Linked DNA regions of Macaca mulatta. The protein of the gene in region 1 purifies or fractionates together with the protein of each later gene. This does not show direct contact. Links are inferred from orthologs where the notes say so. Each region holds a gene or a part of one and is shown in the gene's direction. Other genes may lie near its edges.

Evidence for each region.
Region 2: the proteins of AP2M1 (region 1) and ITSN1 purify together in Homo sapiens (affinity purification with mass spectrometry; 3 studies listed by BioGRID and IntAct, counting the BioPlex papers as one, with this or other methods). This does not show direct contact. The link is inferred for Macaca mulatta from reciprocal best matches to the Homo sapiens genes AP2M1 and ITSN1.
Region 3: the proteins of AP2M1 (region 1) and NECAP2 purify together in Homo sapiens (affinity purification with mass spectrometry; 4 studies listed by BioGRID and IntAct, counting the BioPlex papers as one, with this or other methods). This does not show direct contact. The link is inferred for Macaca mulatta from reciprocal best matches to the Homo sapiens genes AP2M1 and NECAP2.

Annotation. Positions count from the first base shown.
Region 1 is NC_133407.1:96,316,658-96,321,171, forward strand, and holds the end of AP2M1 (AP-2 complex subunit mu), read left to right. Parts: coding exon 1-132; intron 133-232; coding exon 233-374; coding exon of another isoform or gene 375-383; intron 384-847; coding exon 848-967; intron 968-1,063; coding exon 1,064-1,199; intron 1,200-1,302; coding exon 1,303-1,400; intron 1,401-1,868; coding exon 1,869-1,980; intron 1,981-2,590; coding exon 2,591-2,725; 3' UTR 2,726-3,199; downstream 3,200-4,514.
Region 2 is NC_133408.1:13,590,876-13,595,518, reverse strand, and holds part of ITSN1 (intersectin-1), read left to right. Parts: intron 1-1,170; coding exon 1,171-1,400; intron 1,401-3,595; coding exon 3,596-3,717; intron 3,718-4,643. UniProt on the Homo sapiens protein: Adapter protein that provides a link between the endocytic membrane traffic and the actin assembly machinery. Acts as a guanine nucleotide exchange factor (GEF) for CDC42, and thereby stimulates actin nucleation mediated by WASL and the ARP2/3 complex.
Region 3 is NC_133406.1:224,572,854-224,577,496, reverse strand, and holds part of NECAP2 (adaptin ear-binding coat-associated protein 2), read left to right. Parts: intron 1-1,601; coding exon 1,602-1,779; intron 1,780-4,643. UniProt on the Homo sapiens protein: Involved in endocytosis.

The DNA of each region.
Region 1 (4,514 bases):
AAGAAGAGCAGTCACAGATCACCAGCCAGGTGACTGGGCAGATTGGCTGGCGGCGAGAGGGTATCAAGTATCGCCGGAATGAGCTCTTCCTGGATGTGCTGGAGAGTGTGAACCTGCTCATGTCCCCACAAGGTGAGGTCCCTCTCACAACAAAGCTGGAGGGGGACCAGGGCAGGATCCTGGGTCTGCCTGCCTGACTCTGCTGCTCCCCATTTATCTGTTCCATCATCAGGGCAGGTGCTGAGTGCCCATGTGTCGGGCCGGGTGGTGATGAAGAGCTACCTGAGTGGCATGCCTGAATGCAAGTTTGGGATGAATGACAAGATTGTTATTGAAAAGCAGGGCAAAGGCACAGCTGATGAAACAAGCAAGAGGTGCCTGAGGCAGGAGAGCTGGTGGGAAAGGGTGTCTCTTGGAGGGCTCGGTGGGGTCTAGTGAACCACAAGTTTCTTCTGGATTTCATTCCCACTGTAATTGCAAACTCTGTTCCTGACGGTAAGCCTGGCTGTTCGCTCTTGACATTGGTGCTAAGAGAGATGAGGGGACTGTCCTCAGAGCAAGCCCCTTTTTTTGGTCCCTAGGACCAAGGCCTCTTCTGTACATACTGATAGCCTCCTCTGCCCAGTGTGCCTGAAACACCCAGGTCCCAAGCAGCAGGGCCCCCAAGAGATGAGTTTACAAGGTTTCCCTCTCATCCCAAGCTCTGGGGCAGACCTCTGAGTCAGAAAGCTGCATTCTAGCAGCTTTTCATAGTCTCTGGTGCCAGCCTGGGGTGGAGTGGTCTCCCAGCGTGACACCTGTCATTCTCCTGTACCAATGAGACCTCCTCTTCTGCCCCTGCTTGCAGTGGGAAGCAATCAATTGCCATTGATGACTGCACCTTCCACCAGTGTGTACGACTCAGCAAGTTTGACTCTGAACGCAGCATCAGCTTTATCCCACCAGATGGAGAGTTTGAGCTTATGAGGTGCCATTGGGGTGTGAGGAGGCAGCCAGTGCTGCTGGCAGATTGGGGAGAGGAAGTGGGTCAGCTCTTTGGTAACCTTGCTTCCCATCCCTTAAGGTATCGCACAACCAAGGACATCATCCTTCCCTTCCGGGTGATCCCGCTAGTGCGAGAAGTGGGACGCACCAAACTGGAGGTCAAGGTGGTCATCAAGTCCAACTTTAAACCCTCACTCCTGGCTCAGAAGATTGAGGTGAGGACAGGGGGCTTGGGGAGGAGGAAGAACTTGTCCCTAGGAATAAAGGCAGCTGATGTCACAGCTTGACAGAGCTCCCTGACAGGTGTGTCACTTCTAGGTGAGGATCCCAACCCCACTGAACACAAGTGGGGTGCAGGTGATCTGCATGAAGGGGAAGGCCAAGTACAAGGCCAGCGAGAATGCCATCGTGTGGAAGTGAGTCTTTCCTTCATTAGGCCACAGCAGGTTCAAGATCCCAGTGTACCCTCTTGTTTTCACCTTTGATCCTTCTGAATGAGGGGTGGGGGAGTGTGCCTCTTTGCTTTTCTAGGAGCCTCTGCTTGTACTGTCAGCCTTTATGCCTCCATGTGAGTATGTACACGCCTGCATTTGGGTTCATGCACGTGCTTATTTTTTAAGATGCTTTGGCATTTCCCTGCTTGCCTTTGTAATGTATCTGTGAAGCTGACAAAGCAAAGATAGCATGCCCAAGTGTCTAGGCAGAAACTGCATCCTGTTGTCCTAAAGAAGTAGACCCAAGCTTCCATAGCAAGTAGTTAGCAGGGTCCTGACCACTTCTTGTGGCACCTCCTGCAAGCTCCTGGGCGTGCTCCTTAAAATGGGCAACTGCCCTTGAAACTTCTCCAAGCTACAATGGGCTGCCTGTTGTCCCTGTGTTCCTAGGATCAAGCGCATGGCAGGCATGAAGGAATCGCAGATCAGCGCAGAGATTGAGCTTCTGCCTACCAACGACAAGAAGAAATGGGCTCGACCCCCCATTTCCATGAACTTTGAGGTATGGCAGAGGAGGGGCCTAAAGTCATGCCAGGGTATGCTGGAAAAGCTCTTAGAGATCATTCCGATAAACCGCTGCACCTTAGAGGTGAGGAAACTGAGGCCTAGAAAGAACTGGCTTTAATTCATAGATCCATTCTTCCCCTTTCAAGCCTCTTAGTAGAAGTTACTATTCATAGTGAGGCAAATCTTTCACTTCTCTTAGCTTGTCCTAACACAGTTCTTTCGAAAAACTTAGATTGTTTAAATGCCAGGTAAGACACAAAGTTTACTTACAGACAGGATAATGGACTGACTTTGCTTTGTGCATGTTAGACATAATTTTCTCCACCTTATTTTTAAGTTCATAATATTGAGCAGGATAAGTATGTTCTAAAGCAGTTCATTGGTTGCTGTCTCCTGCTGATGAAAGGAACTGATTCCGGGTGTCACTGGCAGGGCTTTCTTCTTCAGCCACCTCTTAGAGGGTCCCTCACCACCCCAGCTTCTTTAAGGACCCCAGCCATTCAAACACCTGTAGTAGAGATGAAGTAGAGCAGGGCAACGGGACTTCCCAGAGGAGAGCAGCTGTAAGAGGAAGGCCACATTTCTAACGAGCTGTCCTTGCCCAGGTGCCATTTGCGCCCTCTGGCCTCAAGGTGCGCTACTTGAAGGTATTTGAACCGAAGCTGAACTACAGCGACCATGATGTCATCAAATGGGTGCGCTACATTGGCCGCAGCGGCATTTATGAAACTCGCTGCTAGCTGCCACTAGGCAGCTAGCCCACCTCCCCACCCACCCTCTTCAACAGGTCCAGGTGCCGCTCCCTCTCCCACCACACATCAGTGTCTCCTCCCTCCTGCTTTGCTGCCTTCCCTTTGCACCAGCCCCTGAGTCTAGGTCTGGGCCAAGCACATTGCAAGTGGGACTGGTGGAGTAGCCCCTGGGCTCCCTGGACAGGGAAGTTCTGAGGCTCCTGCTCTCCCCTCCACCTGTCTGTCCTGGCCTAGTGCCAGGCTCTGAGTTCTGTGACCAAAGCCAGGTGGGTTCCCTTTCCTTCCCACGCCTGTGGCCGCACCTCTGGAGTGGGAGGGTCGGTTGCACCCCTCACCTCAGAGCTCTCCCAAAGGCCAGTAACGGATCCCCAGCCCTCAGTCCCTAGTCTGCTTTGGGATAGTGTGAGCTTCATTTTGTACACGTGTGACTTCGTCCAGTTATAAACCCAATAAACTCTGTAGAGTGGAGTTGCTGGCTAAGTGTTGATGTGGGAGCTACGTGGGGAGGGAACTGGTGTTGCTCTCCCCGCAGTTTTCTGTTCTGAATACTCTAAAAGCTCTTTCCTTGTCTTGTCCCAGTTAGGCGTCTCCTGGGCCATCCAAGCCCCTATCCTTGTGGGTTTTGGGCCCAGGTTTTCTGGCTCCTCTAAGAAAGCCTCAAGGGCAAGCAGCCTCAGCAGGCCCCAGTACCCTGGGGGTAGATCTTTCCCTAGCTCTTTTTTATTCCCCCTGGTCCTCGGACTCCTAGGCTCAAGAGATCTTTAGCCTAGGATCCAGAGGCTGCCTCAGCCTCTGGAGTAGCTGGGATTACAAGCACGCGCCACCACAGCACCCAGCTCTTTCTCTAATTCTTAGGCAGATGTTTTCTAATTAGATTAGGTATAGATTAAGTGAAGTTTACGTTTGGTCTTATAGCCATCCTAAGAAATTGACCTTTTAATTCCATCATTTACCCATGCTTCCCAAATCTTGCTGAGTGGGTGGTAGGAGGAAAGATTTGCAAGCAGAATAATACAATGGACTGGGTGCGGTGGCTCACACTGTAACCCCAGCGCTTTGGTAGCCGAGGTGGGTGGATCACCTGAGGTCAGGAATTCAAGACCAGCCTGACCAACATGGAGAAACCCTGTCTGTACTAAAATTACAAAATGAGTTGGGCATGGTGGTGCATGTCTGTAATCCCAGCTGTTCGGGAGGCTGAGGCAGGAGAATGGCTTGAACCCAGGAGGTGGAGGTTGCAGTGAGCCAAGATCGCGCCATTGCATTCCAGCCTGGGCAACAAGAGTGAAACTCTGTCTCAAATAAAAAAAAAAAAATATATATATATATATATATAAATGCATCTCCATGTCTCATCACCGAACTTCAACTATGATCAATGTGTGACCTGTTCCTTAATATCACATCCAATCTGTGTTCACTAACCAGGTGTCTTACCAAATTTTTCCAGACAAGGTTCATTGTGGTTGGCTAATGCTTCTCAAATTTTAAAAATCGATGTTTCCCTTCAGGTCTTGCAATTTTGTCGAAGAAACCAGAGTTCTGTAGTTTGCCTGTTGTCCCCAAGAAGTCACTTAACATATTCCTCTTTACCTGTATTTCCTGTAAAATGATTCAGTATCCGGATTGACTCCTCATGATGGCAGTGTTTAATCCAAAGGGGTGAATGGGTAATATAGTTTTCGGTGCCACTTTTAGAGAACCATCGGAGGAATATTTACGATTTAAATGTAAAGCAGTAGCGTCATTTTGGAGGAAATTCCTAACTTCCTGAGGG
Region 2 (4,643 bases), on another chromosome or scaffold:
ATTACAGACGTGAGCCACCGTGCCTGGCCACTGTTTTTATTATGGTTTTTTGTTGTCATGAATAACAGTGTCCTTACCCCTCCAAAAAATGTTTTTATACTTTCCTAAAAGACATTTTAAAAATTGTAAATAAAATGTTTAAGATTTAAGTTTGAAGACTTCTGCATAAAAATTTCACATTCATACAGAGTAGCAATAAATGTAATTTTTTGACAATGGAGAATAAAAGTATAATTTGTTTCAATTATGTTCCCGTGGCAAATTCCTAATTCTAGCCAATGACCTGTGTGCGTTAGCCATGTCACAGGATGGCAGTTCAGGGTGGAGACTCTGGGACCAGGCTGCCTGGGATTGAAGCCCAGGCACATATGATTGTGTGATGTGGACAAGTCATTTAATATCTCTGCCCCAGCTTCCTTATTTGTAAAATGGGAGTAATACTAAGACTACCTACCTGATTCGCAGTTTAAAGGAGTTAATATATGGAGAGCTAGTTATTATTATATCATTTGTTATTACATATTAGTTTCATTTAAAGTATTTTCTGACTTTATAAAGTATTATAGAATGAGAAAAATCATTCTCAGTCTTTTACTGTGGGTTTCAGGTTGAGGCCATCAAAAATTACAAGGCCTAGATTTAATTACAATTATCTATTTGTGGTAGCTACTTAGAAAAACAAAATCAAAGTAGTTGAAGTCAATAAAACAATCCCTTGCTTTCAGCTTCAGGTTTGGGGAGCAACATGTATGCATGTAAATGTGTTGTACCCTTTGCTGGGGGGAAATTTTAATGATCTGATTGATCATGTACTTATTTTAAGTGATATTTCATTTACAGTGTTGGGTGTATTTTATTTTTATAGAAGTTATGTTCTCTGTGTTTTATGGCTCTGTTTGGTCAGTTTAATACCCGCTTTATTATTAAGTGTGTTTCTTATTCTTGTAACCACTTTATAAAATACATCAGAAATTTTCTGTGTTTTCCTAAATCATGTGATTTCTTCTCACTCAGAACTGAAGCCCTGATTCAGTTGCCCCGTCTGAAGAACAATGTTCCCTTGATGTTTCCCATCCCATTTACTGGATGGAGCTTTTTTTGTGAAAAGAGGCAACAGTAGTGTTAACTTAGAGCTGCTTCCTTGCTGTAATCAAGTGTGTTTGTTGGCAGACGAGCTCAGGAAAGGGACAAGCAGTGGCTGGAGCATGTGCAGCAGGAGGACGAGCATCAGCGACCAAGAAAACTCCACGAGGAGGAAAAACTGAAAAGGGAGGAGAGTATCAAAAAGAAGGATGGTGAGGAGAAAGGCAAACAGGAAGCACAAGACAAGCTGGGTCGGCTTTTCCATCAGCACCAAGAACCAGCTAAGCCAGCTGTCCAGGCACCCTGGTCCACTTCAGGTATTAGAAGCCAAAAATAATTCTAGAAAATAAGTCATCTTCTCTCCCAGATCCTCCTGAAAAACGCCCATATCTCATCAGGACCAGTCTTGGCTACATTAACAGATGAGAACATCAGTCTCTTATTTTGAGCATGGCAGCTCTTCTTTCCCCAGGGTCAGTTGAGATCTGTGTAATTCTCCCATCACCATGCCAGCCTCTGGCCCACGTTACACCGGCATCCACGAGTCCTCTACAGAGTTAACAAGTGGCGTGAAGTTCCACTGGTCGTATATGCTGCAAAAGAACCTGCTGTTTCTCTGGTTTGTTATTTCCCTCCCTGGAATTTCTGGGCTGTTTCTGCAACAGAAAGTGGCACCTTTCACCCTTGCCTCCACTGATGGGGTATTCGCTGTCTTCGGTCTGCATTGCATAGAGCTGCTTTTACTTTTTGAAAAGTGGCAGCGTTTTGTCCTTTGAACATAATTTGCTTTTTCTTTTCTTTACTTCTCTTTGCTTTTCTTTTTTCTTTGAGACAGTCTCACTCTGTCGCCTAGGCTAGAGTACAGTGGCACAGTCATAGTTCACTGCAGCCTCAAACTCTTGGGTTTAAGCAATCCTCCTGTCTTAGCCTCCCAAGGAGCTGGGACTATAGGTGTGCACCACCATGCCCAGCTAATTTTTTTTTTTGTAGAGATGGAGTTCTAACCTTGTTGCCCAGGTTGGTCTTGAACTCTTGGCCTCAGGCAATCCTCCCACCTTGGCCTTTCTGAGTACTGAAATTACAAGCATGAGCCACCATGCCTGGCCTAATTTGCCTTTTTTTTTTTAAAAAAAAAGGATAAATAAAAGACTGAACAAAAAGATAAATGAAAGACCGATCTAATTGGAATAGCTAGGAAAAGCTATCCTTTATAATAACAGATGTAAGCTAGAATGTATTTAAGATTCCTGTGTGGTTGTGTGATTGTACAGTTTTGCAAATAATGCTCAGCGGAAGCAAGTCGTTGCTTTTTCTTTGTGTGGAAAATTATACCAATTTTGCTTGGTCATCCGTGTGCTGCTTTAGTGCTGCGGTATACAGAAAGAAAAGAAAGAAAAAACACTTTCAAGCTATTCTGTAAAGGTTTACTGGTTCCCAGCTGCATAGTGGGCTGAGATGGGCGTGAGGTATGGAGATGCAGTAGGCACCTACCTGCCTTCAGATGCGTGCAGTCCAGGGGAAAGACTGGCAGGTCATCAGACCTACACAGTAGCAACCATGTCATAGGAGGGGCAAATCAATTTTTTGATAGTTTTTTTCTATCTGAAAATAATTTCACCATTGATCTTAGGCAGTTAGTTTAAGTTCTTCACGCGTCCTCCTAGTATAAAATGAAGATTTGTTTTTTCGCCTTCAGTCAGTAGGAAATCTTGCATGTCATACAGTTCAAAATCATGTGGAGATAATACTTTACCCTCATTGCTTTCTGGATAAGAGAGTTATATGTCAAAATACTTGTAGCTTTTGAGTAAAAATGCCCAAAGGTCTGTTATTAGTTGTTGCTAACCAGAATGCAAAATATCCTTTGCTCATGTGCATTTCTAAACATTTTGTTTCATTTAAAATCTAAATTATTTTCATCTAGGGTTCATCCTTAGGCTCATTATTTCCCAGAGAAATGTATAGGAAGAGTTTCTTCATTGGGGATTATCAGTATAACTGAAATCAGCACTTAGGTTTTATATGACCATGTTAAAGAGCCTAAAACATCTGCATTTTCATGTTTTGGTATGGAAACTGGTGCCTCTGTTCCCTCCCAAACAAGTTTGCTCCTTGGCTGATTCAGACTTTGGGTCGTATCCTAACTGCTACATTGTACTCAACACGCTGGGTAGGGAGGAGGGGGTATTGATGCTTTACAGATCTGCACTGCTAGAGCCCAAGCCAAGAGGCAGAGACAAGGGACCTTTAGGCAGCCTGGCTACACTCAGCCTTGGAATGACCTTTGTTTAGAGGGAGTCACCAATGAACTCTCTGATGGGTTTGAGTTGCTGACGTCAGATTTGGCTCTGCTTTGGCAGTCAGTATGTGTTTCAGAAATTCCTTGAATGGAGGGAAATAGTTCAGAGGTGAAGATAGGCAATAGAGGAGAGGTTAGTTGTTTGGCTTGTTGTCGTACATTTATGTTCTCTGTAATTATTTATTTTTGTCCCCCCACCTTTTTTGTAAACAGAAAAAGGTCCACTTACCATTTCTGCACAGGAAAACGTAAAAGTGGTATATTACCGGGCACTGTACCCCTTTGAATCCAGAAGCCATGATGAAATCACTATCCAGCCAGGAGACATAGTCATGGTAAGAAAGACTCCAGTGAGAGGGTCATTTCTGTTGAAGATTAGCCTCTGTCCTCTTGTTTCACTTTATTCAACAATTGTGAGATTGTCAGTGAGTATGAAACCCAATAATTCAGCATCTAGATTTTTAAAGTGTAAGCTCAGTCTTCTTTCTTTTTTATTAAAATGAAAGATGGCATTTAAAAAATGTATCCCAACATCACTTTAAAATTGAGTTGGTAAAGACAATGTGTTCTTATTTTTAAATCTATAAATGTCTGATAATTTCAGAGTTTAGATTACTACTTATATACTATGAGTAGAAATATATGAGTATAAATATATATGTAATACATATATTTTATATATGATGTATAGACTATATACTAGCATGCGTGTGTATATATATGTATAATATATGCTAGTGTGCATATGTACATATATATACACACACACTAGGATCCTCCAAAGTGGGAGGAGGCCAGGAGTCTTTAAGAAATAGTTATAAGTGCAGAACACCTATCATCATTCTCATAATTGCAATAACTTTTGTATCTTTGCATCAGAGCATCTTTTTTCCCTTTAATTATGTGAACTTTGAATTATGTAAAAAGAGTAATGAATTACACAGTTAATCTGCTTTCCTACTCTGAAACAGAAAATAATTTAAAATTTTACTTTGTTACTGTTTCTTTCCTTTAATTAATAACAATCTTATGATGTGACTGAAACTATAGGAACCAGTTTAAGAAAGAAAATCAAACAACATGGTTCATCTAAATCATTTTCTAAAAGAAAATAGTAGTTCCTTGTTCTAGTTACTCACTTTTAGAGTCTTAGAAGTCGTCAACTTTGCATTACTCTTAGCACTTTTTTTTTAAAAGATAATTTAGCTTTTTTTGTTGTTGTTGACACAACTTCTCACTCTGTTGCCCAGGCTGGAGTGCA
Region 3 (4,643 bases), on another chromosome or scaffold:
ACTGGTTGGGATGCGATTCTTTCTCTCGCTTGGAGGAAACTAACATTTAATGAGCACCAGCTGTGGGCCAGGTAGTGTTTTTAGGCGTTTCTCATGTGAATTAAACATCTCCCTTTCCTCTGTGAGATGAGGAAATGGAGGCTTAGGGATGGTTGGGGACTTGCCCAGGGTCACAGAGCTACAAATAATTGGCACATCTGTACTCACACTGAGGTCTTTGAGGTCTTTTGACTTCAGGGCTGGACTTACTATTCTATTAAGCTGCTGCTTTCCTTACAAGTAGGGAACATATTATCTTCATCTGTGTGACTTGTGCTGGTTTCTGGCTCATGCTTGGTGCTCAGTTTTTTTTTAAGCATTTTCTTGAAGTATAATATGCATGTAAAAAAGTGTACAAATCATAAGTGCAGAACTTAGTGAAATTTTAAAAACCTAATTTATAGGCCAGGAGTGGTGGCTCCTGCTTGTAATCCCAGCACTTTGGGAGGCCGAGGCGGGTGGATCACCTGAGGTCGGGAGTTCAAGACAACCCTTACCAACATGGAGAAACCCCGTCTCTACTAAAAATACAAAATTAGCCGGGCGTGGTGGTGCGTGCCTGTAATCCCAGCTACTCGGGAGGCTGAGGCAGGAGAATTGCTTGAACCCGGGAGGCGGAGGTTGTAGTGAGCCAAGATCAAGCCATTGTACTCCAGCCTGGGCAACAAAAGCAAAACTCTGGATCAAAAAAACAAAACAAAACAACCCAATTTATAAACTTGCACCTCGCTCAAGATGCAAAAGATAGTCAGCACTCTGGAAACACCTCTCCTGGCCCCTCCCAGTAACTACCCTGAGTAACCCTATACTGACTTCACATACTGTAGGTTTCATTTGTTCTTAACTTTCATAAGTTGAATCATACACCTAATCCTGTTTTGGGATGATTTCTTTCTCTTACTCAATGTAATTTTTGTAAGAGTCATCCATGGTGTTGTGTGTAGTTTGTTCATTCTCACTGTTGTGGCATGTACCATTGTGAGAATTCATCCAATTTATTTATGTTTTACTGATGATGGACATTTGGGTAGTTTCCAGTTTGGGGCGATTACAAATAGTGCTGTTGTAGATGTTTGAGTTCATGTCTTTTGGTGCATATATGTATGATTTCTGTTGGTTTATATCTAGGAGTGGAATTGCGGAGTCATAAGTTTAAGTTCCTATGTTGAGCTTTATAGATCCTTTCAAGTAATTTTTCAAAGTAGTTTTACCAGTTTACACTTCGATCAGCAGCACATGAATGGTTACTCCATGTCATAGTCAATACTTGATAATCTACATTTTAGCCATTCTGGTGAGTGTGTAATGGTTTATCATTATAGCTTTGATCTGCATTTCCCTGATGAATGAAGTGGGGTGCTGGGTTTTAAAATGGACCTTATTTGTGATAGATTCAGAATGATGATGCACTAAGTGTAGCTCATAACCATGCTAGGTAGGACCATCTTTTGGTTAGACAGATGTTAGGGCTCTGGGGTCACCTTGGCCCTCCTCGTGGGGTTTTCTGGTAGCACTGGGACTGCAGCAGAACTGGCTGATTTGCATTCCTCTTCCCTGTTTAGAACATGAAGAAGAAGGAAGGAGCAGCCGGGAATCCCCGAGCCCGGCCTGCCAGCACAGGAGGGCTGAGCCTGCTTCCCCCTCCCCCAGGGGGCAAAACCTCCACCCTGATCCCTCCCCCTGGGGAGCAGTTGGCTGTAGGGGGATCCCTCACCCAGCCAGCAGTTGCTCCCAGTTCAGGTTAGTGCTCAGTGGGCGACTGCTGGATCGGTACCTGTGTGCTCCTCTTCTCACTGGCAGCTGGGCCCCATGGTTTTCCCCCCGTCACACACGTGGATTGGTAATGTAGTACCTGTCCATGTCAAAGAAGAAAGGCGGGCACCCAAAGCTGATTCTGCACACGCTGGTAAGGGGCTCCTTCTAGTTGGCCTTTATGGCGTCTGCCTTCCCCTGAGAGGCCGGGGCTGGGATTTGTTTGTTACTGTGAAATCATCAACATGTCAGTTCCTGGTTCCCAGTGTGTGCTCAGTGGGTACTGAGTGAGTGGGTAATGGAGACACTGTCTCTGCTCACGTGTAGTGTGAGAGATGAGTCACAGCACAGAGACCAAATGTGTAGGCCTAGACCCACCATCAGCTAGTGTGATCTGGGGAGGTTTCATGAAAGAGGTGACATTGATCTGGACCTTGAAGGAGGCAGATAGAGTGGGAGTGGTTGGCATTCCAGGCAGAGAGAACATGAATGAGGCCAAGACTTTTAGACACCTGGTGTATTTAGGGAGATGGGTACAGCATAAGGTATGCCAAGGTGAGTGGTGGGAAATGAAATTTCGTTTGGAGTGAGCACCTCGGGTGTGGAAAGCTGAGAGCATTTGCCCCGGCAGCTTGTGCTGAGGAGCCCTTCGGAGACCCTGGGATTCTGGAAGTGAGTGTCTAGTGTCAGCCTCTGACCACGCTGGGGTGCCAGCCCTGTGCCTCTACCTCCCCACCCTGCCCAGCCCAGCTTGATGCTCCTGGCCTTCCCCGGGCTGGGCGATTGTTACCAGCCTGCCTTCTGCCCACAGCTCTCTCCAGCTTGCAGGCAGGAAGCCTTCCTGCTGTGCTGATTCCTAAGCATCCCCAACATCAGCTGCCCTATCTGGAGGTCAAGCTTTAGGCTTCAGCCCTGGGGGGAATACTCTAACCTGGAGAGTGGCAGAAGGGGCAGTCAGAGAGCCCGCCTGGTACTGGGAACTGTTCTTTTTTTTTGAGACTGAGTCTGGCTCTGTTGCCCAGGCTGGAGTGCAGTGGCCGGATCTCAGCTCACTGCAAGCTCCGCCTCCCGGGTTTACGCCATTCTCCTGCCTCAGCCTCCGGAGTAGCTGGGACCACAGGCGCCCGCCACCTCGCCCGGCTAGTTTTTTGTATTTTTTAGTAGAGACGGGGTTTCACCGTGTTAGCCAGGATGGTCTCGATCTCCTGACCTTGTGATCTGCCCGTCTCAGCCTCCCAAAGTGCTGGGATTACAGGCTTGAGCCACCGTGCCCGGCTTGGGAACTGTTCTTTAAGCGTTATTTCTCAGAGTGGGGTCATAGGACCACTTGCCTTGGCATCACTGGGGGATAGGGGCAGGAATCTGCATTCTTATGTCTATTCTTTTTTTTTTTTTTTGAGATGGAGTCTTTTTGCTCTTGTTGCCCAGGCTGGAGTGCAATGGCATGATCTCGGCTCACCGCAACCTCTGCCTCCTGGGTTCAGGTGATTCTCCTGCCTCAGCCTCTCGAGTAGCTGGGATTACAGGCATGCGCCTCCACACCCAGCTAATTTTGTATTTTTGGTAGAGACGGGGTTTCTCCATGTTAGTCAGACTGGTCTTGAACTCCCGACCTCAGGTGATCCGCCCGCCTTGGCCTCCCAAAGTGCCAGGATTATAGGCGTGAGCCACTTTGTCCAGGCCTTATGTCTATTCATGTTTGTGTGTTGACTAAAGTCTGAGAGCTACTACCTTAGGCCATCCCTTGGTTGCTGATGGTTATTTATTTATTTATTTATTTGAGATGGAGTCTTGCTCTGTCACCCAGGCTGGAGAGCAGTGGCATGTTCTCGGCTCACCACAACCTCTGACTCCTGGGGTCAAGTGATTCTCCTGCTTCAGCTTCCCGAGTAGCTGAGATTACAGGCATGTGCCACCACACCCACCTAAGTTTTATATTTTTAGTAGAGGCAGGGTTTCACCATGTTGGTCAGGATGGCCTCGATCTCCTGACCTTGTGATCTGCCCACCTCAGCCTCCCAAAGTGCTGGGATTACAGGCATGAGCCACCACACCTGGCCTTGCTGATTCATTTTTAACAGCATTTTAATTTTAATATGGTGTGCTTGCTGTTTGCCGGGTAAAGTTCTAGGCAACTGGCAGGTGTAGCATCAAGTTTTAGTTCTCAAGGGCTTGTGTTCTGGTGTCTGAGACAGGCAGTTAGCATGTCTACAAACAAAATGGTGTCAGATAATAAGTTATAAATAGCAACATTTATGAAGCACTTACTATATGAGCAATATGGTTGGGTTCAAATTTCAGCTTACCAGCTTTGTGATCTTTATTAATTAATTTATTTTTATTTTTTTATTTTTGAGATGGAGTTTTGCTCTTGTTGCATAGGCTGGAGTGTGACGGCATGATCTCAGCTCACCGCAGCCTCTGCCTCCCAGGTTCAAGTGATTCTCCTGCTTCAGCCTCCTGAGTAGCTGGAATTACAGGCATGTACCACCACGGCTGGCTAATTTTGTGTTTTTAGTAGAGACGGGGTTTCTCCATGTTGGTCAGGCTGGTCTTGAACTCCTGACCTCAGGTGATCCTCCCGCCTTGGCCTCCCAAAGTGCTGCAATTACAGGCATGAGCCACCATGCCTGGCCTACTTATTTATTTTTAAGATGGAGTCTTACTCTGTCGCTCAGTCTGGAGAGCAGTGGCATGATCTCAGCTCACGGCAACCTCCACCTCCTGGGTTCAAGCAATTCTCTTGCCTCAGCCTCCCAAGTAGCTGGCATTACAGCTGTGCACCACCATGCCTGGCTAATTTTTGTATTTTTAGTAGAGACAGGGGTTTCACCATGTTGGCCAGGCTGGTC